7 linked regions of the Macaca fascicularis genome follow. The protein of the gene in region 1 interacts with the protein of each later gene in a pairwise test. Links are inferred from orthologs where the notes say so. Each region holds a gene or a part of one and is shown on either strand. Other genes may lie near its edges.

What was found.
Region 2: the proteins of FHL3 (region 1) and SPMAP2 interact in binary tests that used the Homo sapiens proteins (3 or more experiments, as listed by UniProt). The two-hybrid records come from large-scale screens. The link is inferred for Macaca fascicularis from reciprocal best matches to the Homo sapiens genes FHL3 and SPMAP2.
Region 3: the proteins of FHL3 (region 1) and CCDC198 interact in binary tests that used the Homo sapiens proteins (3 or more experiments, as listed by UniProt). The two-hybrid records come from large-scale screens. The link is inferred for Macaca fascicularis from reciprocal best matches to the Homo sapiens genes FHL3 and CCDC198.
Region 4: the proteins of FHL3 (region 1) and PIERCE1 interact in binary tests that used the Homo sapiens proteins (3 or more experiments, as listed by UniProt). The two-hybrid records come from large-scale screens. The link is inferred for Macaca fascicularis from reciprocal best matches to the Homo sapiens genes FHL3 and PIERCE1.
Region 5: the proteins of FHL3 (region 1) and KIRREL2 interact in binary tests that used the Homo sapiens proteins (3 or more experiments, as listed by UniProt). The two-hybrid records come from large-scale screens. The link is inferred for Macaca fascicularis from reciprocal best matches to the Homo sapiens genes FHL3 and KIRREL2.
Region 6: the proteins of FHL3 (region 1) and RHEBL1 interact in binary tests that used the Homo sapiens proteins (3 or more experiments, as listed by UniProt). The two-hybrid records come from large-scale screens. The link is inferred for Macaca fascicularis from reciprocal best matches to the Homo sapiens genes FHL3 and RHEBL1.
Region 7: the proteins of FHL3 (region 1) and MRM3 interact in binary tests that used the Homo sapiens proteins (3 or more experiments, as listed by UniProt). The two-hybrid records come from large-scale screens. The link is inferred for Macaca fascicularis from reciprocal best matches to the Homo sapiens genes FHL3 and MRM3.

Annotation. Positions count from the first base shown.
Region 1 is NC_088375.1:196,916,442-196,919,643, forward strand, and holds the end of FHL3 (four and a half LIM domains protein 3), read left to right. Parts: intron 1-38; 5' UTR 39-58; coding exon 59-214; intron 215-322; coding exon 323-497; intron 498-1,334; coding exon 1,335-1,504; intron 1,505-1,596; coding exon 1,597-1,783; intron 1,784-1,907; coding exon 1,908-2,062; 3' UTR 2,063-2,702; downstream 2,703-3,202. UniProt on the Homo sapiens protein: Recruited by SOX15 to FOXK1 promoters where it acts as a transcriptional coactivator of FOXK1.
Region 2 is NC_088393.1:936,302-940,390, forward strand, and holds the start of SPMAP2 (sperm microtubule associated protein 2), read right to left. Parts: upstream 2,801-4,089; 5' UTR 2,268-2,800; coding exon 1,801-2,267; intron 1,295-1,800; exon of another isoform or gene 1,214-1,294; intron 630-1,213; coding exon 507-629; intron 206-506; coding exon 134-205; exon of another isoform or gene 43-133; intron 1-42. UniProt on the Homo sapiens protein: May be involved (but not essential) in spermatogenesis.
Region 3 is NC_088381.1:125,322,274-125,326,274, forward strand, and holds the start of CCDC198 (factor associated with metabolism and energy), read right to left. Parts: upstream 2,801-4,001; 5' UTR 2,659-2,800; coding exon 2,436-2,658; intron 1-2,435. UniProt on the Homo sapiens protein: May be involved in tuning the metabolism, energy expenditure, and excretion processes.
Region 4 is NC_088389.1:3,874,236-3,878,192, reverse strand, and holds the start of PIERCE1 (piercer of microtubule wall 1 protein), read right to left. Parts: upstream 2,801-3,957; 5' UTR 2,786-2,800; coding exon 2,643-2,785; intron 1,612-2,642; coding exon 1,533-1,611; intron 1,152-1,532; exon of another isoform or gene 569-1,151; intron 1-568. UniProt on the Homo sapiens protein: Microtubule inner protein involved in the attachment of outer dynein arms (ODAs) to dynein-decorated doublet microtubules (DMTs) in cilia axoneme, which is required for motile cilia beating.
Region 5 is NC_088393.1:43,085,595-43,089,545, forward strand, and holds the start of KIRREL2 (kin of IRRE-like protein 2), read left to right. Parts: upstream 1-1,151; 5' UTR 1,152-1,215; coding exon 1,216-1,741; intron 1,742-1,906; coding exon 1,907-2,056; intron 2,057-2,954; coding exon 2,955-3,104; intron 3,105-3,250; coding exon 3,251-3,411; intron 3,412-3,951. UniProt on the Homo sapiens protein: May regulate basal insulin secretion.
Region 6 is NC_088385.1:55,885,050-55,889,276, forward strand, and holds the start of RHEBL1 (GTPase RhebL1), read right to left. Parts: upstream 2,801-4,227; 5' UTR 2,622-2,800; coding exon 2,570-2,621; intron 2,523-2,569; exon of another isoform or gene 2,424-2,522; intron 2,029-2,423; coding exon 1,889-2,028; intron 1-1,888.
Region 7 is NC_088390.1:895,048-899,321, forward strand, and holds the start of MRM3 (rRNA methyltransferase 3, mitochondrial), read left to right. Parts: upstream 1-1,474; 5' UTR 1,475-1,501; coding exon 1,502-1,815; intron 1,816-2,203; coding exon 2,204-2,448; intron 2,449-4,274. UniProt on the Homo sapiens protein: S-adenosyl-L-methionine-dependent 2'-O-ribose methyltransferase that catalyzes the formation of 2'-O-methylguanosine at position 1370 (Gm1370) in the 16S mitochondrial large subunit ribosomal RNA (mtLSU rRNA), a conserved modification in the peptidyl transferase domain of the mtLSU rRNA.

The sequences.
Region 1 (3,202 bases):
CTCTGTGTGACCCCAGTTCCACCTTGTGCTCCTAACAGGGTTCTCTCTCCTTGCCACGATGAGCGAGTCATTTGACTGTGCAAAATGCAGCGAGTCCCTGTATGGACGCAAGTACATCCAGACAGACAGCGGCCCCTACTGTGTGCCCTGCTATGACAATACCTTTGCCAACACCTGCGCCGAGTGCCAGCAGCTTATCGGGCATGACTCGAGGGTAAGGAGAGGGCCAGGCCAGGCAGGAGGTGGGTGGTGACCAGTGGAAGGGGGCAAAGGATGGATCCACCAGGCCTGGGTGCCAGTGCCCCCGCTGTGTTCGCCACAGGAGCTGTTCTATGAAGACCGCCATTTCCACGAGGGCTGCTTCCGCTGCTGCCGCTGCCAGCGCTCACTAGCCGATGAACCCTTCACCTGCCAGGACAGTGAGCTGCTCTGCAATGACTGCTACTGCAGTGCGTTTTCCTCGCAGTGCTCCGCCTGTGGGGAAACTGTCATGCCTGGTATGTCCTCAGGGGCTCATCTTGTGTAAGAACTGGCATGCCTGGCATCTGCGTAGGGTCTTTGCATGTGTCTGTCTGATACATGGAGACTTGGTCTGTGTAAAGACCTGCACACACAGCATGTTTCTGGAAATTTAGTATATGCAGGATCTGTTTGCCTGGTATACTGGGGGTTACTATGTGCAGGCAGATTGACACATGTGATACATACTTGGGGGCTTAGCATGTGTGAGTATCTGCATGTTTAGTACATGTAGGAACTAGAGGTGTGCTGAGACTGTCGTGCTTATTGCATTGGGTCTTAGTGTGTGCAGAGGCAGGTAAACAGAGGGCTTAACATGTGTGGGGACCTGCATGCCTAATAGAAATGTTGGGACTCAGTACCTATGGAGAATGGTGTGCCAAGGAGATGCGAGGGCTTAGCATGTACTGAACCTGTCATGCCGAGGGCATTAGGGCATATACTTACTTGCCTGGTACATGTGGGGTCCCGTGTGAGTGCTGAAATCATCACATCTGTTATATGAGGGCTTAGCTCATAGTGAGACTTCATGACTGTTACATGGAGGCTCGATATGTGCTGAAATTGTCATTTCTGGGACATATGGGGGCTTAACATATGCCAAAATCCTCGTGTCTAGCTGGGTCATCATGTCCGGTGTCTGGGGAGAGGTTAGCATGTGTAATGTACATGGGGCAGGGGGGTTCTTGCTGCATGTGCACTGGACACCACCCTGCTCAGGCTGCGAGAGGAGTGGAGACTCCCGGGGAAGTTACAGAGGGTGGCCCTCAGGAGCATGGGACACAGCCTCTAAATGGGACCCCTGTTCCCCACAGGGTCCCGGAAGCTGGAGTACGGAGGCCAGACATGGCATGAGCACTGCTTCCTGTGCAGTGGCTGTGAGCAGCCGCTGGGCTCCCGTTCCTTTGTGCCCGACAAGGGTGCTCACTACTGCGTGCCCTGCTATGAGAACAAGTTTGCTCCTCGCTGCGCCCGCTGCAGCAAGGTGGGGGCTGGGCCAGCCAGGTGGGGGTGAGTAAGGCCTGTCGTGGGGTGGGAATCCCCACTCATACCTACTAATGAATGCTGCCCCCACAGACGCTGACACAGGGTGGAGTGACATACCGTGATCAGCCCTGGCATCGAGAATGTCTGGTCTGTACCGGCTGCCAGACGCCCCTGGCAGGGCAGCAGTTCACCTCCCGGGATGAAGATCCCTACTGTGTGGCCTGTTTTGGAGAACTCTTTGCACCTAAGTGCAGCAGCTGCAAGCGCCCCATCGTAGGTGGGACAAGGGTCAAAGAACGGAGTGGGTAGGGTGCAGGCAAGGGAATGGGATGTGGTATTGGGTGAAGTTGAGGGCCGGACCATCCCTAGATCTGCAGAGCTAACTTCCAGCCTCCCTCCAGGACTCGGTGGAGGCAAGTATGTGTCCTTTGAAGACCGACACTGGCACCACAACTGCTTCTCCTGCGCCCGCTGCTCTACCTCCCTGGTGGGCCAAGGCTTCGTGCCGGATGGAGACCAAGTGCTCTGCCAGGGCTGTAGCCAGGCAGGGCCCTGAGCCAGGCTCCTGGACCCAGGCTTTCCCATACCACGGGCCCAGGACTGTAGCTCCTTTTCTAAACCACCTCTGGGACTTAGCCCCACCCCCCAACCAAAAAAAATGGGTCGCCCTCTGGGCTCCAGGATTGTTTCTCCACGCCAGCATCCCCAAACTGGTACTCCCTGACCCAGGCCCCCAAACCTGGGCTCTTATAGAGCCTCCATGAGTCAAGCTGCCTCCCCACACCTGGACTCCAGAACTCACCCTCTCCCCTGCAGTCTGGGTTCCCAGACTGAGTCCTCTCCCCAAATCAGGGCTCTAGACCCCAGCCCTCCAAACCTGGGCTCTGGGACTTAGGCCCCCTTAAATCTAGACTTCTCTTTATAGGTTTTAGGTCTCCTATGGGTGCCTGAGAAGTCCTCAAAAGTGGACTGTTCTCAAGCTTGACCTGCCCCACCCCATCCCCCCGGGGCTGAGGCTGTGGGGACAGCGATCAGGGGCCCACCGATGAGGGGGCCCTAGGGTACAGGGTGCTGCCCAGCTGGTGGCCACCGAGTGTCTTCTCATTTTATTTCAGCTCCATTTTGCCCATAGATGGGCAGAGGGGTGAGATTGGCTCACCCCCCTTCCAGATTCTGCAATAAAGCGGTGTGAGGAAGCAGGGGCCTCCGTGTGTGCCTCTGTGTGTGTGTGTGTGCGCGCGTGCGCGCGCAGGGTATAAAGGGGAAGGAAGGGTTTTTGCAGACTGGGAGGCTCAGAATCTCTTCTAGACCTCGTCCTTGCAGGGCGGGGTGGAGGGGGGCCGGGCCACGGGGTGGGAAGTCTCTCCCCATGAAGGGGATCCCCGCCACGGCTACCGTCCCTCTGGAGCTCGGCCTGCCTCCCTGCTGGCAGAGGGCTTTTTCCTCCATGCAGGGAAGGGAGGGGTTTGGGGGAGGTTCCAGACGAAAGCGAGGGTGGCGATGGGGTGCCTTAATTGGCTGGTACCAATAGTCCCCTCCGCCAACAGCCCTTCCCAAAGCCCGCAGAGCAAGGACCCGGTTCCGATCCCCAGTCTGGGCCTAGACCCTCTCAGCCCCCTTCCCCCTCTTCCCAAGGATTAACGAGGGCGGCCCGGGATCCGCTCGCGACCGCACGTTTTTTGCCAAAAAAGGCAAG
Region 2 (4,089 bases), on another chromosome or scaffold:
AGAGCCCCACATCTGAGGAGCCCTCCCCATCCTCCTCCCTAGAGAGAAGAGGGTGGCTCGAGTGGAGGGGCTCCCCGGAACCTGACACGTGTCCCCCGGCATAGGCAGATGGAGGAGACAGCCTTGGACTTACCAGTAGAGACAGAACCGTAAGCTCATCTTGCATGGGAAAATCCAGGCATAGCCCTTACCACAGCATCCCTTCCTGCGAGGAGACAGGGTCCGAGCCCCCACTGCCTTTTGCCCTGGGTCTCCCGTTTGCTCCCAAACTCCTCACTCTCCTTTGGCCACCGCCCAGAGGGCCACCGAGGGCCGCAGTTCCCTAGCCAGTCCCGGCGTCTGGCCACCTCCTTAACTGGCCAACCCCGTCTACCCTAAGTTTGCTGGATGTGGTGGCGGTTGTGGGAGGGGAGCCGAGCAGTGGGGACAGGAGGAGCCCGGGAAGGGGACAGAGGAAGCCCCAGCGCTGCCCCCACGAGGCCGTGGTTGGTCTGGCCTGTCCTCACCTGTCTCTCAGGACTTGCCAGTTTATCTTGGGCTCTGCCAGCTCCATGAGCCTCCTCCGCCGCCTCTTCCTCCTTGCTTTGGCCATGATGGTGCTGGGGAACTTCTGGCTGATGGACAGCCGGCTTTGGGAGAATTCCATGTTGAAGTTGGAGCTGCTTTCTCGCCCCGACGCGTTTGGGGGCCCAGAGAAGCGTAGGTCTTGCTCGAGCGCCCTGCCCACCCGCCTCTCCTTTCCTGAGAAGGGTCTCTGGGGGAGGACTTTGGCACCACGAAGGCCTGGACCAAACCGCAGCTCCACTGCTGGCTGGATGGAAGACCCTGGCCAGGGCACCCGGCTCCCCAGGCCCTCAGCCGCCTCCTCTGTGAACTGGACATGAGACCAGCTCCCACCTGGTGGGGCTGTTTCAGTGAGTTCTAAGATAATGTTTGCGCATCTCACAAACATTTATCAAGTACCTACTGTATGCCAGGCCCCAGAGGGGCCACCAGCCTCTAAAGAGAGCAGCGCCTGCCTCCCAGAAAGCTCACAGACCGCGGGAGGGACACAGGCAGCAGGCGAAGATGCCAAACGTCAGGACGTCTGCCCTGTCGCAGCTCTTGGCTCCCGTGTCCTCCCCGGGAGCCCCTCACACTACTGCCGTTTTCTCTGCAGGCTAGCACGGCCCCGTGAGGACAGGGCCGCTGCTTTGTTCTTGGGCAGCACGGAGACCACGGTGAGAAGGGAGCACCTGGGTGTGGGCGTGGGCCGGGACCACACTGCAGGGAGGGCGGGAGCCAAGTTCCAGAGGTAGGTAGAGTGCGCGCCTTGCTGCGGACACTCGGGCAACTTGCCCAGAATCACTGCCCCCAGTGCCGATTCGCTGAAGCGTTCGTTCACCCTGAACGTGTTCCTCCCGACCATTTAAAACGTTTTAGCCACCTGTGGTGCTTAGAATTGTTTCAGCTTTTGAGTTGGGAGGCTTTTTTTTCCCATTTCTTTTTCTCGCTGTCTGACTTGAGGTCATCACTTGTTAAACTGTGAACTCTGGGCACCTGAACTCAGTCTGCCTGACTCCAAACTCAGCGCTGTTTACTCCACCTCCTGCCACTGGCTAGGGGAGCGTGTGCTGGTGTTTGCCTCAGGGCCCAGTGAGGGGTGCTGGCCGCCAGCTGACCAGGCCCACACCTAGGCTGACTCGGCAGCCTGGGCCCCTCGGCGAGCCAGGCCAGCGGCCGGGAACAACGCTTTCGCACGCCCAGGGGGCTGCTGCCCTACCCCACCGCGCCCGGGCAGGGCCGCTCCGCGGTGCCCACCTGATTTCAGGAATGTCCTCCTCTAAGTCCTTGTCCAGAACTCTCTCCAACTCAGAAAGAGCCTCTTTGGGATCCAGGGTCTCCGAGAACTCCTCCCCGGCCACCTCCTCGGGGGGAAGCTCCTCTTCTGGGTCCTCCGGTCCCAGCTCCGCATTGTCCGGGTCCTGGTGTTCGGGGTCTGTGACCCGCCGGCTCTCGTACACAGAGCTCTGGAGGCCACGGGGGTCACCGCTGAGCTCCCTTTCCAACCTGCCTGCAGCCTCAGAGCTGGGCTGGTTCCCGAGTGACCTTCGCCTGCTGTCCCCCATGTACAGGTCCCTTCCCAGCCCCCGCGGCCTCACTCCCTCAGCACCCAAATGTGTCTGTGGTGGCCGCGGCAACAGGAGAGTGTCCCCCACATTCTCCACAGTCCACATTCTAACCCCTGCGCTGTCTACAATGCCGGTCACCTGGGCTTGCGCTGGCATCAGGACTCAGTCCTGGCAGTCGTGGCTCACAGGGACCTCCCAGGACTGGTTTAGGAAGGAGGCCTGAGGGGACCCTGCAGGGGTTATCTAGATATGGCTTCCCTCTCTTAAAAGGAGACACAAGGAAAAGACCGCGTTTCCCGTTCCTGTCACTGCTGGGCCCGTCTGTAATGTCCAGAGCCCAGGCAGCCGCCTTGTGACCATGAGGCCTGCCAGCCTGAGGGCAGATGGACTGAAAAGCGGGTCTTTGATGCCCTTGTCGAGCCTCTGAACTTAGCAGCTCTGGAATCCACCCTGTGTCCAGGCTTCTCGTTACTTGAAACAATAAGTGTCCTCAGTACTAAGTGGTTTTGGCGAAGTTTCCAATCCGCAGCAGCTAGAACTGCACCCTCAGGGACACAGACCCTTCCGGCTCCAACCTCTCCTGAGAAATAACTTCAAACTAGGCTGTTCGATTCTCACAACAAAATCATGGTTATAACTGGAGTATTCCCCAGGCTGCAGCCTTCCGGACCTCCTTGCAGCTCGTCAAAGGAGCTGAATTTCCCGCCTCTGCCACACCGTGCCCCACACAGCCTATCCCCCTCCGTGCCCCCCTAGCCTTTCCCCCTCTGTGCTGTGCCCCCACCCAGCCTTTCCCTCTCCGTGCCCCCCTAGCCTTTCCCCCTCTGTGCTGTGCCCCCACCCAGCCTTTCCCTCTCCGTGCCCCCCTAGCCTTTCCCCCTCCGTGCCCCACCCAGCCTTTCCCCCTCCGTGCCCCCCTAGCCTTTCCCCCTCTGTGCTGTGCCCCCACCCAGTCTTTCCCTCTCCGTGCTGTGCCCCCACCCAGCCTTTCCCCCTCCGTGCTGTGCCCCCACCCAGCCTTTCCCTCTCCGTGCCCCCCTAGCCTTTCCCCCTCTGTGCTGTGCCCCCACCCAGCCTTTCCCCCTCCGTGCCCCCACCCAGCCTTTCCCCCTCCGTGCTGTGCCCCCACCCAGCCTTTCCCTCTCCGTGCTGTGCCCCATCCAGCCTTTCCCCTGTGCCTCTGCCCAGCACTTCCCCCTTCTGTGCTTGGTGGTTTTCTACTCATCATTGAAGACTCAAGCCTGTCGGTCCCCCATGCAGGGAGAGTCCCTGACCATCCCTCCCCTTTCTGGGCTCCCAGGCCTAAGACCCCCACCCCCACCCAGTGCTAGCCCACCCCAGAGTCCTGCTGTGTCCCTCACCCCTGCCACCAGTGTGGGGCCAGCCGTCCGGGCATGTGACCACTTGGCACACAAGAGACCCAGTTCATCAACACACGCAAAGCCCTCTCCAGCTCCCCGTCCCATCTCCCGGATGCGCTGCTCCCAGACGCAGCCGCGCCATCACCGCTGTCGGGAAAGGGGTCTCTCGGAGGACTCCAGGCAGAAAGGTCCCTGGGAGGGTCTGGTCCCATCCAGGAGGCCGTGGGAAAACCCCCCTTCTTGGCCTGAAGTTTCCTAAACCCTCACCTTGCACTCAGTGACTTATTTTTCTCTTTTTTTTTTTTTTTTGAGACAGAGTCTGGCTCTGTGGCCCAGGCTGGAGTGCAGTGGCGCGATCTCAGCTCACTGCAAGCTCCGCCTCCCGGGTTCACGCCATTCTCCCGCCTCAGCCTCCGGAGTAGCTGGAACTACAGGCGCCGCCACACCCGGCTAGTTTTTTGTATTTTTAGTAGAGACGGGGTTTCACCGTGTTAGCCAGGATGGTCTCGATCTCCTGACCTCGTGATCCGCCCGTCTCGGCCTCCCAAAGTGCTGGGATGACAGGCCTGAGCCACCGCGCCCGGCTATTTTTCTCTCAAGTTAAACCTGACCAAGAT
Region 3 (4,001 bases), on another chromosome or scaffold:
TAAATATAATTTACTATTAGATCAGGTAATCATTAGTTACTAGACTTTATCAACACAATTTTGTACCTTTCCAGTTATATATGTCTAACCTGTAGGTTGAATGTGGAGATGAAACACAGAAAGCAGGGAACCTACATTAGTGCAAATGACACTGTTTTAGTCTAGACTTGGGATTTAATATCTGCTCTCCTAACTTCCTACTCAGGTTCATATTTAGGGGAAGAATTACAAAATTACCAATATGTTGACTGCAAATATTTTTCAAACAGAATTTGGCCTGGAAAATAGAAATTTATTGACTTGTTTTAATTCCATAAAATCTCCTCACCGAAATATAAGACATCAGAAAAATATATAACTTTAAAAAATGAAAATAATCTTCTTAGATGAAATAGATGATAGATAGATAGATAGGTGATTATACAGAGATGAGACAGAAATGGAGTATGTGTGAACACAATTCAATAGCCCCTTTAGTGAAAAAAATTTCCACAGATTGCCACTATAATACAGCATATCAATATTCTTTCCTGATGAAACAAGCCAGGGATACAGAGTTAAGCCTCTATTAGGAAACAGAGAGGCTCAACAGATCCATTATGGATTTTATTTTCCAGCTTGATTATCCTGAGCTCTTGGGAGTGCTACCATGACCAACGCTGCATGAGTGCAGTTCTTGTCTTTCCCTTTTAATAATCTGGACACATTCTGATTTCTAGATTGTTTCACAGAGTATTTTACAGTCCCACTTTGCATTTTAAATGGAAAAATCCATGGATAATTATGCATCTTTCTCTTTAAGACATGTGAATGACCGCTTTAAGGACTTTGTTCTCTCTGACTTTTAGTGGTATGCAAACTATGTCCTTATTTTCTTTTGAAAAGATGCCAGCATATTGAGCAGGATGGAAACAACAAACATATTGGATTTAAAAATGTAAGTATTTTCAGCTATTTTTTCAGAAATCTTACTAATCCTTATTTTTTTATTTTAGTGATGTTAGTCCATTATTTAATTAGATTCTCCTCAAATGGCATAGGCTGTGTCAGGCATTTATTTTTACCCCTGATTACAAGTGAAAAAAATTGATGAAGTAACTTGCCCAAGGTCGTTCGATTTGGTATTTGATGGAGCTGCGGTGAGAATATGGGAGATCGTCATGAGAATCCTCATGATCTCCTTGTTATTTATTTTCAATGTGATTTTGTCACTTCAGACATAAGCATGTTTTCCAGTTGGGACTCTAAAGCACATGAATCAGCTTTCACCATTTATTCAGTTACCTAAATCTTTTTTTTTTGAAACAGAGTCTCTCTCTATCACCAAAATCTTAAAACTCTCAATGGGGATTTGGATAAAAAGGGAATTCCTCAGTAGGAGCATTGCATACTCTTAGTGCACACTCACGCTCCATTTTTTAAATCGTGTCTTGTCACCTATTCGTCTGTCATAAAAAATTTCCTAAGGGGAAAATTCCCATCTATGTGCTTAAGAACTTGAAGACCATAAAGAACATAAAAATAGGCCATATAGAAACAACCAAAGGTTATCAATTCTGCAGACAGTAGACATGAAAAATCATTCCAGGCAAGATTTGCTAGGTACCAAAAGAGAATGTGAGGCTTTCTGAATGAGGCATCCAATAAGGGAAACTTATTTGTGTTATTGATCCAGAAGGTGAAGGAAAGGGAAAACAATATACATATGCATATATATATATATAAAATAAACATATATTTTTCTAAGTGAAGATGTCTGTTTAATTATCATTGTGGTCATGATAAAACATTTTACATGGCTTATAAAATATTCCAGGATAATTTATAGCCACTTCAGGCTCAGAGCTTCCAATCATAATGGGAAAGAATTCTGTTAGTTCTGCAGATGACCATGAAGAATGTGGGGTTGGGAAAAGGGTGACTCATCCACTCCAATGTACTGTAATAAATCAATTCTGTTTAGGGTGGTTTCAAAATTCATGTTAGAATTAACTCACTCTTAAAGTGCTGCTTTCAAAACCACAAAGCCCGGTGCATAAAACTATACTGGAGAGAATGATTTAAATTTAGAATTTAACTGAAATGCGATTGCTATCATTTATCACATTAGTATCTATATAATTTTAATGGTCTGTCAAAGCTAGGTATAAATATTGAAAGCATTACAAACTGAGCTGAAACAAAATGATTTATCCTTCTCATATGGAATGGTGAAAAGCCCTTTGTACAGTTTATACTCCCATTCTAATGCACCCAGAATACTTTCAATTGACATTCAATCCTCTTTGAAAGATTTGAGTTTTCAAAGATAGCCTAAATTCCTCTACATTTCAGTAATTTAGAAACTTTCTGAGATCATGGAGACAGTCAGATAAATCTATTAATAATGCTCCTTGGTCCAGATACACACATCTCATGCTGGGTTTTATGTTTACCTGCATAGTATCTTCCATACCAGTTTTCTTGTAAAGGTGGCAGCTGCCCTTCCAAGGCTTTATTCTGGTCCTGCAGTCTTGCCAGTGAATGTGAAGTCTTTTCTTCCAAATTCTGATTGAATGCAAAGTCCACAGGGCCAGCTGAGGGAGTCTCTACCTCTTTGTTTTGCAAAGGTGCTACTTTGATCACCCTCGGGTGAGTCTTAGAGTGACTCAGGCCCATTTCATGTGAAAGACATTCAGAGGAAAGCTGCGAGGAAAGTGGTTTTGGGGTCTTTAATATAGCTTGTTTTAATCAAGGCATTTCAGAAGTTTACCCTGGCTTTACAAAGCAGTCATTTCCTTCATGGCATCCTTCTAGCTCTGTTTCACTGCACACTAACCCTTTTGGCCACTTCCTGGGAGGCTGGTTTCCATGGAGACTTCCCTTCAACTTTGCCATTTCAGACCCAAAGAATCCAGTTAAACATTGACTTGGTTATGCTGCTTTCTGAAATACTCAGTGATAGGAATAGAAGCCACTATTGATCATTAAACAAATATCTAACACCAGGAAGATTATTAACACAGAGAGAGATGTAGAGCAGAGGTTTAGAGAAGTCTTAAACTTGACGCTTTCACTGCAAGCACCTTTGTAAAAAAACTAACAGCTGAGAATAGCTAAGCCATCTTTGCAACTAAGAGGATGCATGCTAATTACCAAGGCGTTGTTAATCTTTAATTTAATTGAAGAATTTATCCTCCAAGTAGGAAAGAAAGCAGCGGAGTGGCTAAAGCGTCATTTGATTTTTCTGTTGATGACTTGAGTTGCCTTTGAAGGGGATGAATACATTGCAGGACAGGAGGATAATAGAAACTTTTTTCCTGGGGATGAGGGGAAAAACTTCTTAAACATAAAAAGATAGCCTATTTACTATGTTTTTAAATTTAATTAAATTCATTTATTTATTTTTGAGACAGAGTCTCACTCTGTCACCCAAGCTGGAGTGCAGTGGTATGATCTTGGCTCACCACAACCTCTGCCTCTCCAGTTCAAGTGATTCTCCTGAGTCAGCCACCCAAGTAGCTGGGATTATGGGCACCTACTACCACCACACCCATCTAATTTTTGTATTTTTAATAGAGAAGGGGTTTCACCATGTTGGCCAAGTTGGTCTCAAACTCCTGATCTCAAGTGATCCACCTGTGTTGGCCTCCCAAAGTGTTGGGATTACATGCATGAGCCACAGTGCCCGGCCTATTATGATTTTTAAAGTAGAAAAAAGACTAGAAGGAAATATGCTGAAATATTGAGTAGTGATTTTTGAATGGTGGGATTATGGGTGATTTTTATTTTATTCTTTATACTTAGAAGTGGGACTAACTTTCAAGCTCTAATTGTTCATGACCACAGATTACTTGTGTGTTCATCACATCTCCATAGAGAAATTAAAAGAAAATGTATTTTTCATCTTTGCAGAATCCATTTCCTAAGGGACTAAGGTGGTGTTTGGAAAGTCTTGGTAGACAATCACATTTATCTAAAAAGATGCCTGAATTTAGTTTTTTCCTTATTCTCTTTGCATT
Region 4 (3,957 bases), on another chromosome or scaffold:
CACAAACTCCTGACCTCAGGTGATCTGCCCGCCTAGGCCTCCCAAAGTGCTGGGATTACAGGTGTGAGCCGCCGCACCCAGCCCTTCAGTGCACTTTTTAAGGCAAAGCATTTATCTCCTGTTCTCACATGGGAGGTAAACAGCTTCTCCGGCATCCACCCTTGGTCACGAAACTGGGAAAGAGACTCCAGATGGAGCAGGTGGATAAGAAGCAGGAAAACCTCCTTGGAAACTTGTCAAGAGTACCTCATGCCTCCTATCCCACTGCCTGCTCACATCAGTGACCTGAAGGCTCCTACCATTTACAATAGGAACATTTTTTCATGGCCTTTTATAAAACCTAAAACATCTGGACCCATGTTAGTGAGTTTGCTGGGTTTTTTGTTTGTTTGTTTTGGTGACAGGGTCTGGCTCTGTCATCCAGGGTGGAGTGCAATGGCACGATCATGGCTCACTGCTGCCTCAACCTCCTGGGTTCAAGCAATCCTCCTACCTCAGCCTCCTGAATAGCTGGGACTACAGGTGCATGCCACCCCACCCAGCTAATTATTTTATTTTATTTTTGTAGGGATGGGGTCTTACTACGTTGCCCTGGCTAGTTTTGAACTCCTAGCCTCAAGTGATCCTCTCACCTCAGCCTCCCAAAGTGCTGGGATTACAGGCGTGAGCCACCGCGCCCAGCTGTGTCTGGTCGTTGTCACAGAAATACCTGATCCCCAGGGAAAACTCAGGGTCGTTTGACTATGGGAGAGTGCTCCAGCATTTTCAGGTAAGTAATCTTCTCACCAGAGCTCAGTCACTCACACAACACAACTAAATAAGCACTCAGCAGACCTTTTCAATGATGAATGCTTTGACAAAGAAAAAACACCCACAACATTCTCACCCCAAAATGGCTGGCCCAGTGTCCCAGGTGTGCAGGAGACACCGCACTAGCCCCTCTGTCCATTCACCTGGACCTTCATGGGGTTTGGTGTGAGGATGTTCTAGGAGGGCCATCCTGGAGTCCGAGGTCAACTTCAAAAAGGGTTTGGCTTCCCCAATGGCCCACAGGCTCCTGTGCCCACAATACACCTTGCCCACCCACAAGCTGTGCTGTCAGCCAGTACTGCCCTCTTAAGGTCACACGTTAACATCTCATAAAGTGTAATTCCAGAAAAAAAGTAGCCCTTCATTTATTTGCCTCAGAACTGAGCACTGTAAGTTGCAGGAGATGGTTGCGTGTGTGTGTGTGACTGCTGTGCGTGTGCTTGGGGGTGTGGGGACAGGGTGATGCCAGCAAGTCTATATCCTCCTCTTTTAAAACACTCCACTCCCGAATTCATTCACTCATTTAGTTCCATCCTACCCTCTCCCAAAATGATTTGGGGAACCTCCCTCCTCCCCATTTGTGATGTTGGAACTTTGGCCTCTTCTCTGGGTGCACCCCTCCCCGTCTCATTGTTGACTTATTGAGAACCCCAGGTTTTTAGCCTCTTCTTTGAGGCTGCCCACCCCCTGCCCCCCCATGCCCGGTCTTGCATCCCACTTACGGGCATCTCGTGCACGGTGGGGGCTCTGCTCCCATAAGCCTGGTTACTGGTCGTGTACACCGAGATAGCCTTCTGGGTCCTGGTAGATGAGAAACACTCTCTTTTCGTTCATTTAATCTAATTCTGCACAAGCCACAGCCTTGCATTTGGTTGACAGCACTCCACTGGAAATGCCCCCAAAGAAAGAGCAATGTGCCTGGGCTGGTGATGCAGCCTCAAAGGCGGCCTCTGGGAGTACCTGGCTGATGACCGTTCTGAATGGCCCGGCCTCCCCTGCCCCCTCTGCTCACCACGGTCCCTGCTCTTCCAAGGCAGGCCAAGCCCTAAAGAGCAGGCAGCCAGCAAGTGCTGACCCCCAGCCCTGGCAGGACCTTGGCACATGCTGCAATTTCTGGGTAACTTAGCCTGTCAGGAGCGGAGGCTTGGCCTCCAGACTCTGCCACCCAGAGGGTCCCTCTGCCTTTAGCCCCCACCCTCGCTGAGGTGATGCTTCTCTCGGTACCACTGCCCCTACCTGTCAGTAGGACAGGCTACTGAGAGGCTGCAGGCCCACACCTTAGCTCTACTTTATACTCCTAGATCTTGGCCAAGTTGTTCTTTCTACATTCCAGTCGTCTCAATGGGAGAACGAGGATACTAACAGACCCTGCCCTAGAGGACTGTTGAGGGACCACATGTGTGAGCACGGCAAGATGCTTGCACCTGCCTACAGGAATTTTTTTACTGCTTCTTAGCCTGCAATGCCCTGTGGCAGCTCACAGCTGGCTGAGTAGACTTGCTGCAGGTGCTGCTGTGCTCACGCCCCGCAGCAGGGTTTCAGGGTAGAGAGGCGAGGAGACTCACCCGACACAAAACAGTGGAGCTGAGACCACAACTGGGTTTTCTCCCCCCTACGGCCCTGCCCCTCACTGACCCTATTCCCACTTCCTTGTATGAGGCTCTGGGGAGCACTTTCGTTGCTCACTAGTGGGCGATGACAGCGCGGGCCCCAGATGACCCCTCGATCCTCTTGATTTCTGCAGCTAGGACCTTGGGGGTCTTGCGGGGTCTCTCACACACGGGGCTATCGAGCAGTGGACGCCAGGACCAGGCGCGCCCCAGCTTCCTCACCTGTAGCCCCGGAACCACCCTGGGTTGTTGAACCTGCCCGGCAGGTCCGCGCTTACGCGGTAGTAGTCGCTGGTCCTCTCAGGCGGGGCCGTGGCCTTGGGCTCCACAGGCTCCGCGCACGCTCTGGGGCTTTCCTCCGCCATTGCGCCTCGAAAAGCAGGACTCGGCGGCGTCCTGTTGCCAAGCGACGGCCAGGTCACGTGACTGGGCGGAGCGGAGGGGCCTTAAAGGCGCCGCGCGTGGGCGGTGCTCCTCCGCGGGCGGGTCGGGAACCTGCCGAGCGAGTCCCCAATGACTGGGAAGGTCGGGACGGCGAGAGATTCCCTGCTGGGACCGTTGTATGGGGCAGCCCCTGGCCCCCAGCCACCCGCGAGGGGACCGGGTCACCCCAGCATGAGGGTGTGGACTCCCGGGCGAAAGGAACCCCAGGGCCTGGGACCCCGCCAGCCGGGTGATGGGGTTTAAGCACTGCAGGTCCACTCGGCAGACAACGATTGGACGCTTGCTGTCCAATGTACTCCAGGGATGATATGCCCCTCAGCACCCCGAGTCTAAATTGAGACCCGAGATCTTGCTAACTTTATGAAATTCTCCTAAGTCAAATATCGTTTAAAGATTAAAAACATGGCCGGGCGCGGTGGCTCAAGCCTGTAATCCCAGCACTTTGGGAGGCCGAGACGGGCGGATCACGAGGTCAGGAGATCGAGACCATCCTGGCTAACACGGTGAAACCCCGTCTCTACTAAAAAAAATACAAAAAAACTAGCCGGGCGAGGTGGCGGGCGCCTGTAGTCCCAGCTACTCGGGAGGCTGAGGCAGGAGAATGGCGTGAACCCGGGAGGCGGAGCTTGCAGTGAGCTGAGATCCGGCCACTGCACTCCAGCCTGGGCGACAGAGCGAGACTCTGTCTCAAAAAAAAAAACAAAAAATAAATAAAAAATAATAAATAAATAAATAAATAAATATTAAAAACAGTTTTGGAGCGCGAGAGGCTGCGCGGGACGTGGTTCACAGCTCACGTGGCGGGAGGCGAGGGTCCCCATCGCCCAGCGGGCTCCCCCAAAGGTCAGGGGCCTCCCGGGCTGGTGGGGCCCATTAGCGAGGCGGGGCGAGCTGCAAGGCGAGGACGGTGGCCCCACTCCCGGCCCGAGACTCTCAAGCCCGGGACCCCGGGCCCTGCCCCCTCGTCTGCCCCGCCCCCGCAGGGAGGTCCCAGCCGCCCGCGGACGGCGCTGTGGCTCCTCCGGGCCTGTAGGTGGCACTGCGGCCCCGCGCGGACGGCGGCGGGAGGGGAGGCCGCTCGGCCCGGCTCGGA
Region 5 (3,951 bases), on another chromosome or scaffold:
AAGACTCAGGAGTTCCGGCCTCATGCCATCGTATTTCAAAATCCAGGCACTAGATATGCCACATAGAAGCCAGGAGTGTAGGCCCCCAGATCCCTCCCCTCTCAGACCCTGGGGTCTCAGTCCCTTCTCTCCAAGGACTCAGGAATTTGGGCCTCTGATCCTCCTGGCCACCCTACCCATCCCTGCATCCCTCCCACCCCCCGCACCGGCCGCATACACACACACACACACACACACACACACAGACACACACACACACACACAGGACTTAGGACAGATGTTCACCGTCTGATTTCCAAATCCTCCTGGGCCCATGTGGGGGTGGGGAGAGATTGGCAGTTAAATCCACCGACTCTAAGACTTAAGACCAGATATTCTGACCTCTGTCACCCTCTTCCAAGTGCACCATGCTGCAGGCAGGAGACCTAGGAGTTGAGTCTCCAGCCTCTCAAGGAACCAGGAGATCAGGCCATCAGCGTCTCAGCCAGCAAAGGCCTGAACCACCAGTCCCTTACAATCCTGTAAGTCCAACCCCTACTCCCAACCCCACCCTGCCATTTAGGGACACAGAGTCTGAGCCTAAGAACAGCGTAGAATCTGAATGTGGACCCCCCAGTTCTTACAGATCCAGGAATGTCAGATCAGGGTCCCAGCCCCCCAGCCCTCCTTCAGGCTGCTCGAGGTCCCTCCCACCTGCTCGGCCAGCTGCGCAGCGTGGGAACGCCCCAGCTGGGCTGCATGGAGCCGTCAGGACAAGCTGCGCGGTTCCCAGCCTCCCTGCTTGCCCCGGCCCGGCACCGCCGCCTCCCAGCCGTCGCCCGGCAACCAGGCGGAGGGGCCAGGCCGGCCGAGTGGGGAGAGGGGCTGGGCCGGGACTGCGGGGTCCTGGGAAAGGAGGGGCCGGGGTCCTGGATTCCTCGGTCTTAGGACGTTTGCAGCAGTAACAAGGGAACAGCCCTCTGTTCCCCACTTTGAGGAGGGGTTTTGAGGCTGGGGGAGTCAAGACAGGGGTCCCAACTGTCCCCCAGGTATCGGCGTGCCCTATTCCCGACCCGCAAGCCAGGGGAGCCCCGGACCCCGCCTCCCCCAGGGCGCGGAAACTGGTGAGGCCCCAGGGGCCCCCATTTATAGCTCGGTTTCCACTGAGCGCAGTCCCTCCAGGACCTGGGCTGAGCAAGTTTCTTCCACTCTTTCCCTTCCCTCCTCTTCACCCCCATGCGTGCCCCTCAACCTCGACAGGGCGCAGGTGTCCAACCCAGCCGGGACTCCCTCCTCGAACCCAGGTGTTCCGGCTCCCAGACCCCAATTGAGCTGGGGGCGCCCACCCGCCGGGGGACCCCGCCCTGCATCCCCCATTCATCTGCGTCCAGCGGCGGGAGTTTCTCAATGGGAAGAGGGCGGAGCTCCTGGGAGGCGGACCCGGGCGGGGCGAGCTGGATCGGGCCCTCTAGGGGTCTCCCAGAGACCCAGGGCGCGGAACTGGCAGGCGTTTCAGAGCGTCAGAGGCTGCGGATGAGCTCACTTGGAGGACTCCAGGCCAGAGACAGGGGTTCTCTAGGCTGGGGAGAAGAGTCAAGCGCGACGGGGGCTCCGGGCCAGAGTGACAGGAGGAGGGCTTCCGAGGAAGAAGTTGACCGGGAGGCCCGTGCGACGGCAGATCTCGTGAACCTTGGGGGACACACGCTCAAGATGCGGGTCCCCGCCCTCCTCGTTCTGCTCTTCTGCTTCAGAGGGAGCGCAGGTACCGCACGAGGGGAGCGGATGAATATGGGGTGGGTGTGGGGGGATTGCTTGCAGGCTGCCCCTTCACTAGAGAGAAGGGAGTTGGGGGCTGGGACCCCTGGGTCCTGAATGAGGGGGCTCTTGAAGGTGCTAAGCTCAGCCCTGCTGCCCCCAACTTTCCTAGGCCCGTCGCCCCATTTCCTGCAACAGCCAGAGGACCTGGTGGTGCTGCTGGGGGAGGAAGCCCGGCTGCAGTGTGCTCTGGGCGCCTACTGGGGGCTAGTTCAGTGGACTAAGAGTGGGCTGGCCCTAGGGGGCCAAAGGGACCTGCCAGGTAAGACGGTTCTCTCCACGCTGGGACGGGCTGGCTAGGGGTAGAGTTGCTGGGCTCGGCTGTACCTGCAGTTTCTATTTTGACATTTTAAGTTTGGGAAATTGATGGACTTGGGTAAACATTTAGGAGTCCTGATTTTTGAGCTGCTTCTTTGGGGGTGACCCATAGAGTTTTGGAATTATTATGTTATTGTGAAATAGTAAACAGGCCAGGTGCGGTGGCTCACGCCTGTAATCCCAACGCTTTGGGAGGCTGAGGCCAGAGGATAGCTTGAAACCAGGAGTTTGAGACCAGCCTGGGCAACATAACAAGACCTTATCTCTAGAAAAAATATATATATTTTAAACAAATTAGCCAGGCATGGTGATGTGCATCTGTAGTCCCAGTTACTCAGTAGGCTGAGGTGGTAGGATTGCTCAAGGATAGCCTTGAGCCCAGGAGTTCAAGGCTGCAGTGAGCCATGATCAAGCCACTGCACTCCAGGTAATGGTGAGACCGTGTCTCAAAAAAAAAAAAAAAAAAAAAAAAAAGGAAAAGAAAGAAAGAGAACATAAATGCAAAAAAGTACAGTAAACATAAACGGAAGGTTTACCAAATAATATAGACACTCACACAGCCAATACCCAAGTCCACTGCTAGCTCCCCAGAAGCCCCCGTATTCCTTTCCCCTATCATAGCCCCCCTCCCCCTCACTCCAGAAGTAGTATCTAACCTAACTTTTATGGCAATCATTTTCTTGCTTTCCTTTCTGAATTTATTACCCCCAAGTTTGCAGTGACTCTGGGTTGGGAGGGAGTTAGAGTCTCTATGGGCACAGTACCCACTCTTTAATAGTGTCTTACCACCAAATGTGTGGACCAGTCAGAACCATGGCGTGCTGCCTCCTCCCTGACTCCAGGGTGGTCCCGGTACTGGATATCAGGGAATGCAGCCAATGGCCAGCATGACCTCCACATTAGGCCCGTGGAGCTAGAGGATGAAGCATCATATGAATGTCAGGCTACACAAGCAGGCCTCCGCTCGAGACCAGCCCAACTGCACGTGCTGGGTAAGGACCTCGCCCACTTGTCCCCTGGGAGCCCAAGGGGGCAACCAGTACTAGCTGTGAGTAGCGGAGTCCAGGGAGCCCAGGGGAGTGGTCAATTGGAGCTGAGAGGATCCGGATCCATCTCTGACCCCAAATCCACCTTGCAGTCCCCCCAGAAGCTCCCCAGGTGCTGGGCGGCCCCTCTGTGTCTCTCATTGCTGGAGTTCCTGTGAACCTGACATGTCGGAGCCGTGGGGATGCCCGCCCTACCCCTGAATTGCTGTGGTTCCGAGATGGGGTCCGGTTGGATGGAACCACCTTCCATCAGGTGAGGTCCAAATTCCTGTGCTAGCCTTTGCCCATTCAGGAAAACTTGGGGTACACTCTGACTGCAGGCTCATCCCGAGGAGAAGAAGACATGGGAGGGCAGGGGTTCAAGGGTTTGGACTCTTGAAATATGATGCCGGGTAAAGATTCTAGGGCCAGACTACCTGGGTTCAAATCACGTCTCAGCCACTTGCTAGTTGATTGATCTTAAGTTAGTTAACCTCTCTGTGCCTCAGTTGCCTTATCTATACAATTGGAATAATAATAGCATGCATGTCATAGGGTATTGTGAGGATTAAATAAATAAATACCTATAAGTTCCCAGAAGAGTGCCCAACACATAGTGAACCGTATATAAGTAAGGCAAGCTTATCCAACCTGTTGCCTGTGGGCTGCATGCAGCCCAGAACGGCTTTGAATGTGGCCCACCACAAATTCATATACATTCTTAAAACATTATGAGCCTTTTTTGTAACTGTTTTAGCTCATCAGCTATCATTAGTGTTAGTATGTGTGGCCTAAGACAATTCTTCTTCCAATA
Region 6 (4,227 bases), on another chromosome or scaffold:
TCTTACCTTCTTTTTTTTTTTTTTTTTTTTTGGCAGCTTTTTTTTAAAGTAGATTGTTGGTTGGGCTCAGTGGCTGACACCTGTAATCCCAGCACTTTGGGAGGCCAAGGTGGGCGGATCACTTAAGACCAAGAGTTCGAGACCAGCCTGGCCAACATGGTTAAACCCTGTCTCTACTAAAAATACAAAACATTAGCTGGGCATGGTGGTACATGCCTGTAGTCCCAGCTACTCAGGAGGCTGAAGCATGAGAATTGCTTGAACCCAGGAGGTGGAGGTTGCAGTGAGCTGAGATTGCGGCACTGCACTCCAGCCTGGATGACAGAGTGAGACCCTGTCTCAAAAAGAAAAGAAAAATAATTACTTTTGTTTTATTGATGAATAATAGATGCACCAAGTTTCAGGGTACACGTGATAATACATTCATATAATTTGTAAGTATATCTGCAATATTCATCACCTTATATATTTGTGTTTTCTTTATGCTAGAACCATTTGAATTCTTCTCTTATAGCTATTTTGAAATGTAAAATAGCTTATTGTAAGCTATAGTCACCCTACTGATACTACTAAGTCTTACTTCTATCAAACTATATATCTGTACCTATTGATCAATTTATCTTCATCCCTCCCACTCCCTTCCCCCTGCTTACATTCTTTTTATTCTCTTTTTTTTTTTTTTTTTTTTTTTTTGAGATGTTGTTTCGCTCTTGTTGCCCAGGCTAGAGCACAGTGGCGCCATCTCAGCTCACTGCAACCTCCGCCTCCTGGGTTCAAGCAATTCTCCTGCCTCAGCCACCCGAGTGGATGGGATTACAGATATCCATCACCATGTCCAGCTAATTGTTTGTATTTTTAGTAGATACAGGGTTTCACCAGTTGGCCAGGCTGGTTTCGAACTCTTGATCTCAGGTGATCCACCTGCCTTGGCCTCCCAATGAGCTGGGATTACAGGCGTGAGCCATGGTGCCTGGCTTTTTTTTTTTTTTTTTTTTTTTTTGAGACAGCCTCATCCTGACACCCAGGCTGGTGTGCAGTGTCACAATCTTTGCTCACTGCAACATTTGCCTGCTGCGTTCAAGCGATTCTCCTACCTCAGCCTCCTTAGTAGCTCGGATTACAGGTGTGTGCCACCATGTTCAGCTAATTTTGGTATTTTTAGTAGCGATGAGGTTTCACCATGTTGGCCAGGCTGGTCTCAAAATCCTGACCTCAATCGATCCGCCCGCCTCAGCTTCCCAAAGTGCTGGGATTACAGGCGTGAGCCACTGCGCCTGGCCTCCCCTTACATTCTTAACCTTGGGGTTGACACAGATAGATCAGCTCCAGGGAGTTATCCAGGTAACTGGAAAGACACACTAAGGTTTTTTTTTTTTTTTTTTTGAGACGGAGTCTCGCTCTGTCGCCCAGGCTGGAGTGCAGTGGCCGGATCTCAGCTCACTGCAAGCTCCGCCTCCCGGGTTCACGCCATTCTCCTGCCTCAGCCTCCCGAGTAGCTGGGACTACAGGCGCCCGCCACCTCGCCCGGCTAGTTTTTTGTATTTTTTAGTAGAGACGGGGTTTCACCGTGTTAGCCAGGATAGTCTCGATCTCCTGACCTCGTGATCCACCCGTCTCGGCCTCCCAAAGTGCTGGGATTACAGGCTTGAGCCACCGCGCCCGGCCCACACTAAGGTTCTTAATGTCTACATTTAAACTATCCCAGACTCAGTATCCTGCAAAATCCATACTCTAGCCATCCATCGAACAGGATTGCTGAAGAAGAAATTAGATGTAATGTGTAAATAAATCAGCCCCTTGGCACCAGAGAAATACATTATGGAGTTGGGTGGGCTATCCAATCCCTCCGGGTCGCGTCACCAGCACACTAGGGGAGAAGTCTACTCACTATTCTCCACTGTAGGATCGTAGCCTTCCGAGAACTCGCCTTCCACAAATTGATGTGCCAAAGATGTCTTCCCTGTGGGGAGCAGTGTGGCAGCTGTATCCAAATCATCCATCCACATTCACATCCTCTGTCCTTTCGGACTGTGGCCCAGGACCAAAGGGTACCCCAAATTAACACCACAGTCTGTGAGTGCCTCAAGCAATCCTATCCCTTGTGTCTACCCTCACCGTCTTTTCGCCCGGGGTCTCCGCACTTTGGCTACCGGATGCATTCAGAAGCGCAGCAGGAAGCCTTTCCCGCCGCCTTCCCCACCCCATCCTACCCGCAGGAATATCCAAGATTCCCCAGGATCGAGTCCGCCCCGCCCCAGGACACCTGCGACTATCTGTCCCCACGGAGACCGCATCCCGGTTTTCAAATTGTGACCCCACCCCTATCCCCAAAGTAACGCTGGGACCACTCTGAGATTACCGCAGCCAGGTCTTCATTGAGCCTTAAGTGCTTGCGGTTCCTGCAGCCTCCACACACCACCAACCTTTATTCCTCCACTCTTCCAATCCTCGCTCTACAACCCCATTCTTACGATGTCACCATTCCTCCCTGGGTCGCGTTCCCACGGCAGCGCGCCTCTTCTGGCCACAAAGCTGCTGCGCGTCCGAGTTCTGCAGGGCGGAGACTCACCTACAGAGCGGTATCCGAGGATGACCACCTTCCTGTAACGGACCAGCGGCATGGCAGGAGCCCGCCCCAGGGGCTTGCGGAACTGCGGGCTGAGAGAGCCCGAAGACGAGGTCAGGGTGTGGGCAGGTGCAGGAAAGTCGCTCACCCAGAAGCTGCCGCGGGCAACTTAGAGGGAAACCAAAACAAGCGCCGCGCCCGGAGCTGCCCACGTGATCACAACACAGCACGTCTAACGCGAGGGAGCCCGGCGCCGGGGGAACTACTGTGCCGCGCCGCGCCGGGCTCCGCCCCTCAGGCCGCTCGCCATTGGTCCATTAGAATGGGTAAGGGCGGTGCCGCCAGCAGGAGGGAAGGGTGGGCCTCACGTGGAGCGGGAGTACTGGGAGCTGCGCGTGCGCAGACTGGAGCCGGTTCATTCATAAAGAAACAGAAAGGAACCCGGGGTCCTAAAGGCGTTTGCGCATTTGCAGCCTAGCTGAAGTGGCTGCGAAGAATTATGGATGGAAAATACCCGTTGTGTGGTTTCTGGCCATAAGATTCTAGCCCTTTGCATGGTCTCTGAGGTCCTTAGATACGAAGAAAAGGGCCGAAGTTCCAATATATTCCCTCTGCTTCCCCAGCCTTCAGCCCCAGACCTATCAAGGTTTCCAGTCCTCCAGCATCTGATTTCAAACTGCAATTCTTGTTCTTGCGGAAATTGCTAGAATTTATGATCAAGTAGTCTGAGGTTTCTTCTTCATCCTCATGATCCTCAAACATTCATTTTTCAACAAATACTGAACATATACTATGTGTTTCAGGCATTGCTCCAGCTTTGGGGTCAGAACATGGACATGAAAGACAATGTGTCTGCTCTTATGAAGGGGGAAACAAACATACAACAAGGAGATATCAGATAGCGTTAAGTGCTATAGAAGATGGTGTGATAAAAGATGACCACTTTATTTTTTAAAGACAATACAGCATTTTTAATTTTTATTTATTTATTTATTTTGAGACAGGGTTATGAGACTGGCTAATTTTGTGTTTTGGGGAGAGACGGGGTTTTGCTATGTTGCCCAGGCTAGTCTCGAACGCCTGGCCTCAAGTGATCCACCCGGCCTGGCCTCCCAAAGTGCTGGGATTATAGGCGTGAGCCACCGAGCCTGGCTGAGATGACCACTTTAGATTAGTAATACTTTCTCCCATAGGAAACCCCATTTAAACTAAGATCTGAAGGAACCAGTTAGCAGATTTCAAAAGAAGAATCCACCAATGCTAAGGCGATAAGATGGAAATAAATTCAGTAAATTCCAGGAAGAGGGGAAGAAAAAAAGAAAGCCAGTTAGCCTAAAGCAGATGAAGTCTAAGAGAATGGCAGAGGCCAGGCCACATAAAGAAGTCTGGGCTAATTCTAAGTACTTGAAGGTATTTAAGCTGGGGCATGACATGATCTACATTGTCTTTCTAAAAAATCTCCCTGGCTTTGGTGAATGGATTGGGGTTTGAGGGGAACAGGAGCAAGAGGAAGCAGGGAGATTGGCGAAGAAACTGTTACCTGTAGTCCAGATGAGAGTGGCGTGGCTAGAGTGATCATGTTGAATGAAGTTGAGAATTCAGGATATTCTGAAGCTAAGGTTAAAATGACTTGCAGAAGGATTGGTAGAGGAGGGAAGAAA
Region 7 (4,274 bases), on another chromosome or scaffold:
GCTGGGATTACAGGTGTGAGGCACCGCGCCCGGCACATGTTTAGTCTTTACAGCAAGCTTTTGATCAACGAAGAAATACTAACAAGGGACAGCTCTGTGGTTTCTGCTATCGAAAGTTTTGTGGTTTTTCACTATCAAATTCTGACTTCCATTACCATCACCTACGTACAAATCCAGTTCCAACTCCCACCCCAATCCAGGCCATGAGCTCTAATGGAGGATTATCCATCAGGGTCATTTGAACCTTTGCTGCCAAAACTCAATGTAGTACCCTAAAAATAGCAGATTTTTTTTTTTTTTTTTTGAGACGGAGTCTCGCTCTGTCACCCAGGCTGGAGTGCAGTGGCACGATCTCGGCTCACTGCAAGCTCCGCCTCCCGGGTTTACACCATTCTCCTGCCTCAGCCTCCCAAGTAGATGGAACTACAGGCACCCACCACCGCGCCTGGCTAATGTTTTGTATTTTTAGTAGAGACGGGGTTTCACCGTGTTAGCCAGGATGGTCTCAATCCCCTGACCTCGTGATCCACCCGCCTCAGCCTCCCAAAGTGCTGGGATTACAGGCGTGAGCCACTGCGCCCGGCAAAATAGCAGATATTTTAAAAATGATCTGACGAATTCAGACCCCCGTCTACCGCACCGCCTCCACACTAAACCGCGCTCTTGCACCTTTCAAGTCTTCCTTACTGGTGTGCTCCCTACCTCCCCGGCTTATCGAAGGAGGTCCCCCAAACCCCGTTCCCCAACCAAGTCCTGCAGTAACAGCTTCTCAGGACCGGGGAGAGACTGCTTGTGGGTGCTGCTGAAAAGGAGATGGGTTGAGAATTGGAGCCCATATTCAGAGAGACTGAGTACCCGAGTGGAGCCATTCCGACCAGCCCTGACAGAAGCAGAACTCTGAATATGCTGGTTTTAACTACATCAAAGGCTCCAAACCGGAAAAGACAAATATTAACTGGAAAGCATTATATGTCATTTTGTGTATTTACCGTCTTTTCCGGTAGACAGTAAGCTCCACAAGGGCGGAGCTCAGTAAACATCTACGAGTGACTTAAACGAAAGGACGTGCTGGGCACACCGCGGGGACTAATCGCGTTAGGCCCCTCTCCAAGGCCTATGATCCCCACCGGCAACTCGCCGCTCCCGAAGCTGAACTCCGCGCAGGGCCCAAGGTCGGGCACCCTCCGGCTGAGGTTCACGACACACCCATCTTCCCCTCCCTCCGCCAGGGCCGGCTCGGGGGCCCGTTCCCGCCTCGCGCGCCAGCCCCAGTCGAACCCGGCCTGCACCTTCATCCCCAGGACGTCCCGATAGAAACGCGCCGTCTGGAAGCGGTTTCCCACTTTGAACACGAAGTGCAGAGCTCTGCGAGCAGCCATGACTCCCGCGCACGCAGCCGTCACGCGCACGGTACCGCCCCGCCCACGACGGGCGCCCCGGGCCGTGACGTCACTGGCCGCCGACGGCGCGCCTTGGTGACGCAGCCCGGGTCTCAGAGAAGATGGCGGCGCTGGTGAGACGCTCGAGGTTTGTCGTGCGGCCGCTGCTGCAGGTGGTGCAGGCTTGGGACCTTGACGCGAGGCGCTGGGTCCGGGCGCTGCGGCGGAGCGCAGTGAAAGTGGTGTTTCCTTCCGGAGAGGTGGTGGAACGGAAGCGCGCTCCCGGGAAGCAGCCACGCAAGGCAGCATCTGAGGCCAGTGCCCAGGAGCAACGAGAGAAATCACCGCTTGAGGAGTCCACATCCCACGCTCCCAGCACCTGGGAAGAGTCTGGGCTTCGCTACGATAAAGCTTATCCCGGGGACAGGAGGCTGAGGTGATGTGGGTCTTGAAGCCTGTCGAATGTTCTCGTTTCCCTTCCCGCCTCACAGCGGAGCCTTAACCTCCTTCTCCGGATGGAGGACTTCTTCCAGTACAGCCCGCTGGCTTTTGTATTATGCACAGAGGGCCGAATAGTGTCTTTGGAATTAGCTTCTGTTTCCCCTCAGCTCTTTGTTGTTGTTTTTGTTTCACCATGTTGGTCAGCCTGGTCTCGAACTCCTGACCTCAGGTGATCCGCCCGCCTCGGCCTCCCAAAGTGCTGGAATGACAGGCGTGAGCCACCGCGCCCGGCCCTCTCCTTGGCTCTTTATTTCTGTTACAACTAAGCGTGTCTTAGTAACAAGGATGTTGATAGTTACCTGTTTTTTTATTTCCATCTACAGCAGTGTAATGACAATAGTAAAGTCCAGGCCGTTTCGGGAAAAACAAGGGAAGATCCTGCTGGAAGGTCGCAGGCTCATTACAGACGCTCTCAAGGCTGGAGCTGTGCCAAAAATGTTCTTCTTTAGCCGTCTAGAATACCTAAAGGAGCTGCCAGTCGATAAGCTGAAAGGTGTCAGCCTCATTAAGGTGAAATTTGAGGATATCAAGGATTGGTCCGACCTCGTAACACCACAAGGAATAATGGGTCAGTGATTATTACACAGTGTATCTTTTTTTTTTTTTGTCTTGCTCTGTCACCCAGGCTGGAGTGCAATGGCGCAATCTCGGCCCACTGCAACCTTCGCCTCTCAGGTTCAAGGGATTCTCCTGCCTCAGCCTCCCGAGTAGCTGAGACTACGGGCATGCACCACCACGCCTGGCTAATTTTTGTATTTTTAGTAGAGATGGGGTTTCACCATGTTGGCCAGGCTGGTGTCGAACTCCTGACCTCAGGTGATCCTCCTGCCTCTGCCTCCTAATGTGCTGGCATTAAGCATGAGCCACTGTGCCCAGCCTTACACAGTGTATCTTAAGGTGTGGAGACCTAGGATTAATTTCTCATACTTGTCTTAGGACAGCAGATTTCATTGAAATGAAATTCAAAATGTTACAATTAGAAAAACATAATTCTCAAACCTGTGTATCTTAGAATATTTTCAATGGAAATTGAAACCCGTTTTTCACTATCATTTGTGTTGTGGCTCTTTATAATCTCTAGGAAGAACCACTATTCCTCAAACCTTGTATTTTTTAGATTACGTCTTCAACTTTTTATGTCAGATTAAAACTTAAGAAAATGTTTACTAAAAGAGTTAGCCCTTCATTTCTGCAAAAACTCTGCTGATGTGGTGATCACTGTTAATAAATTCCTTATTCTAGAAGCAGATCTAAGAAGTGAGGTATAAGCCATAATATACTGCCCTGTTTAGCCCAATAAACGGAGAACCTTGTCTTCTAGTCTGTTTCTTCATTTGGCTGAATCTAACTTAATCTTACTTAATGTCGATTAGCAATTACAAAGTCTTTGGTCTAAATATGAGAAGATAAGTTTTTCATACGTTTTTGACATTGGAGTTTTATTTAAGATATGAAAACTGAATCCTTGAACTGGGGACCATCTCTTGTTTCTATAATCCAGTGAGTCACAGGGATCTGTGCCTCTACAATCAGAACTCTTAGATCCTAGGATGGGGACTTGGATTACTAAAGTACCTGGAATTACTCATGCTAAGTAACCATATTCTCACTAGAAACAGCCCTCTAATCCACACTTGATGCTTCAGTGAACATGTCATTCATTTTTACTGAGCTTGTCACTTTGGGCACGTGTGCTAACAGTGGCCATCCCATCTTGAACTTCATCATTATACCTGCTTTCATCATTTCCTGGCTTTATAATTTTTATATTATTTAGCTTATCCTTATGTTACTATATTTTAGATTTGAGGGCAAGGAATAAGGGAGAAATGGATAGGAACTGGCAGCACCTGTCAGGCTTTAGACAGACACTCTGGAGAATCCAGTGACGTAAGTAGGGTCTCTGTATGGTGGGTTCTTATCACCATAGACATTCAAGTAGAAGTAAAGGACTTCTAAGATCCCCTGCCCTACTGAATGGCTTGTGGCCATCTGTGACTCGGAAGTGGAGGCTCTCTCACAGCACACAGACGCCTAATACCCTTCCGTTGCCTTCAGTAGTGGGTAGGCTTTTTACCTGCACTGTCTTTAGAAAGAATCCTAAATCTTTGATTGTATCATGTTTCAGTACAAGTACTACTTCATCTCCTGACTTCAGTCAGTAGCCCATTTATTGGAGCAATTATATATGACAAAATACTAGTAAGATTCAAAAAATCTGTACAGTCCCTTGGGAGCTGACTACAAAGGGTTTGAATATTTGGTAATGATACATAAAGAGTTTAAGGTAGTGCTTGGCCTAAAAAAAAATGTTTGCTAAAAGATTTATCTTTTTCTAAATGTTTACTAAAAGGTTATCATTATCACCTCTACCAGGAAACATGGTGATTCAAA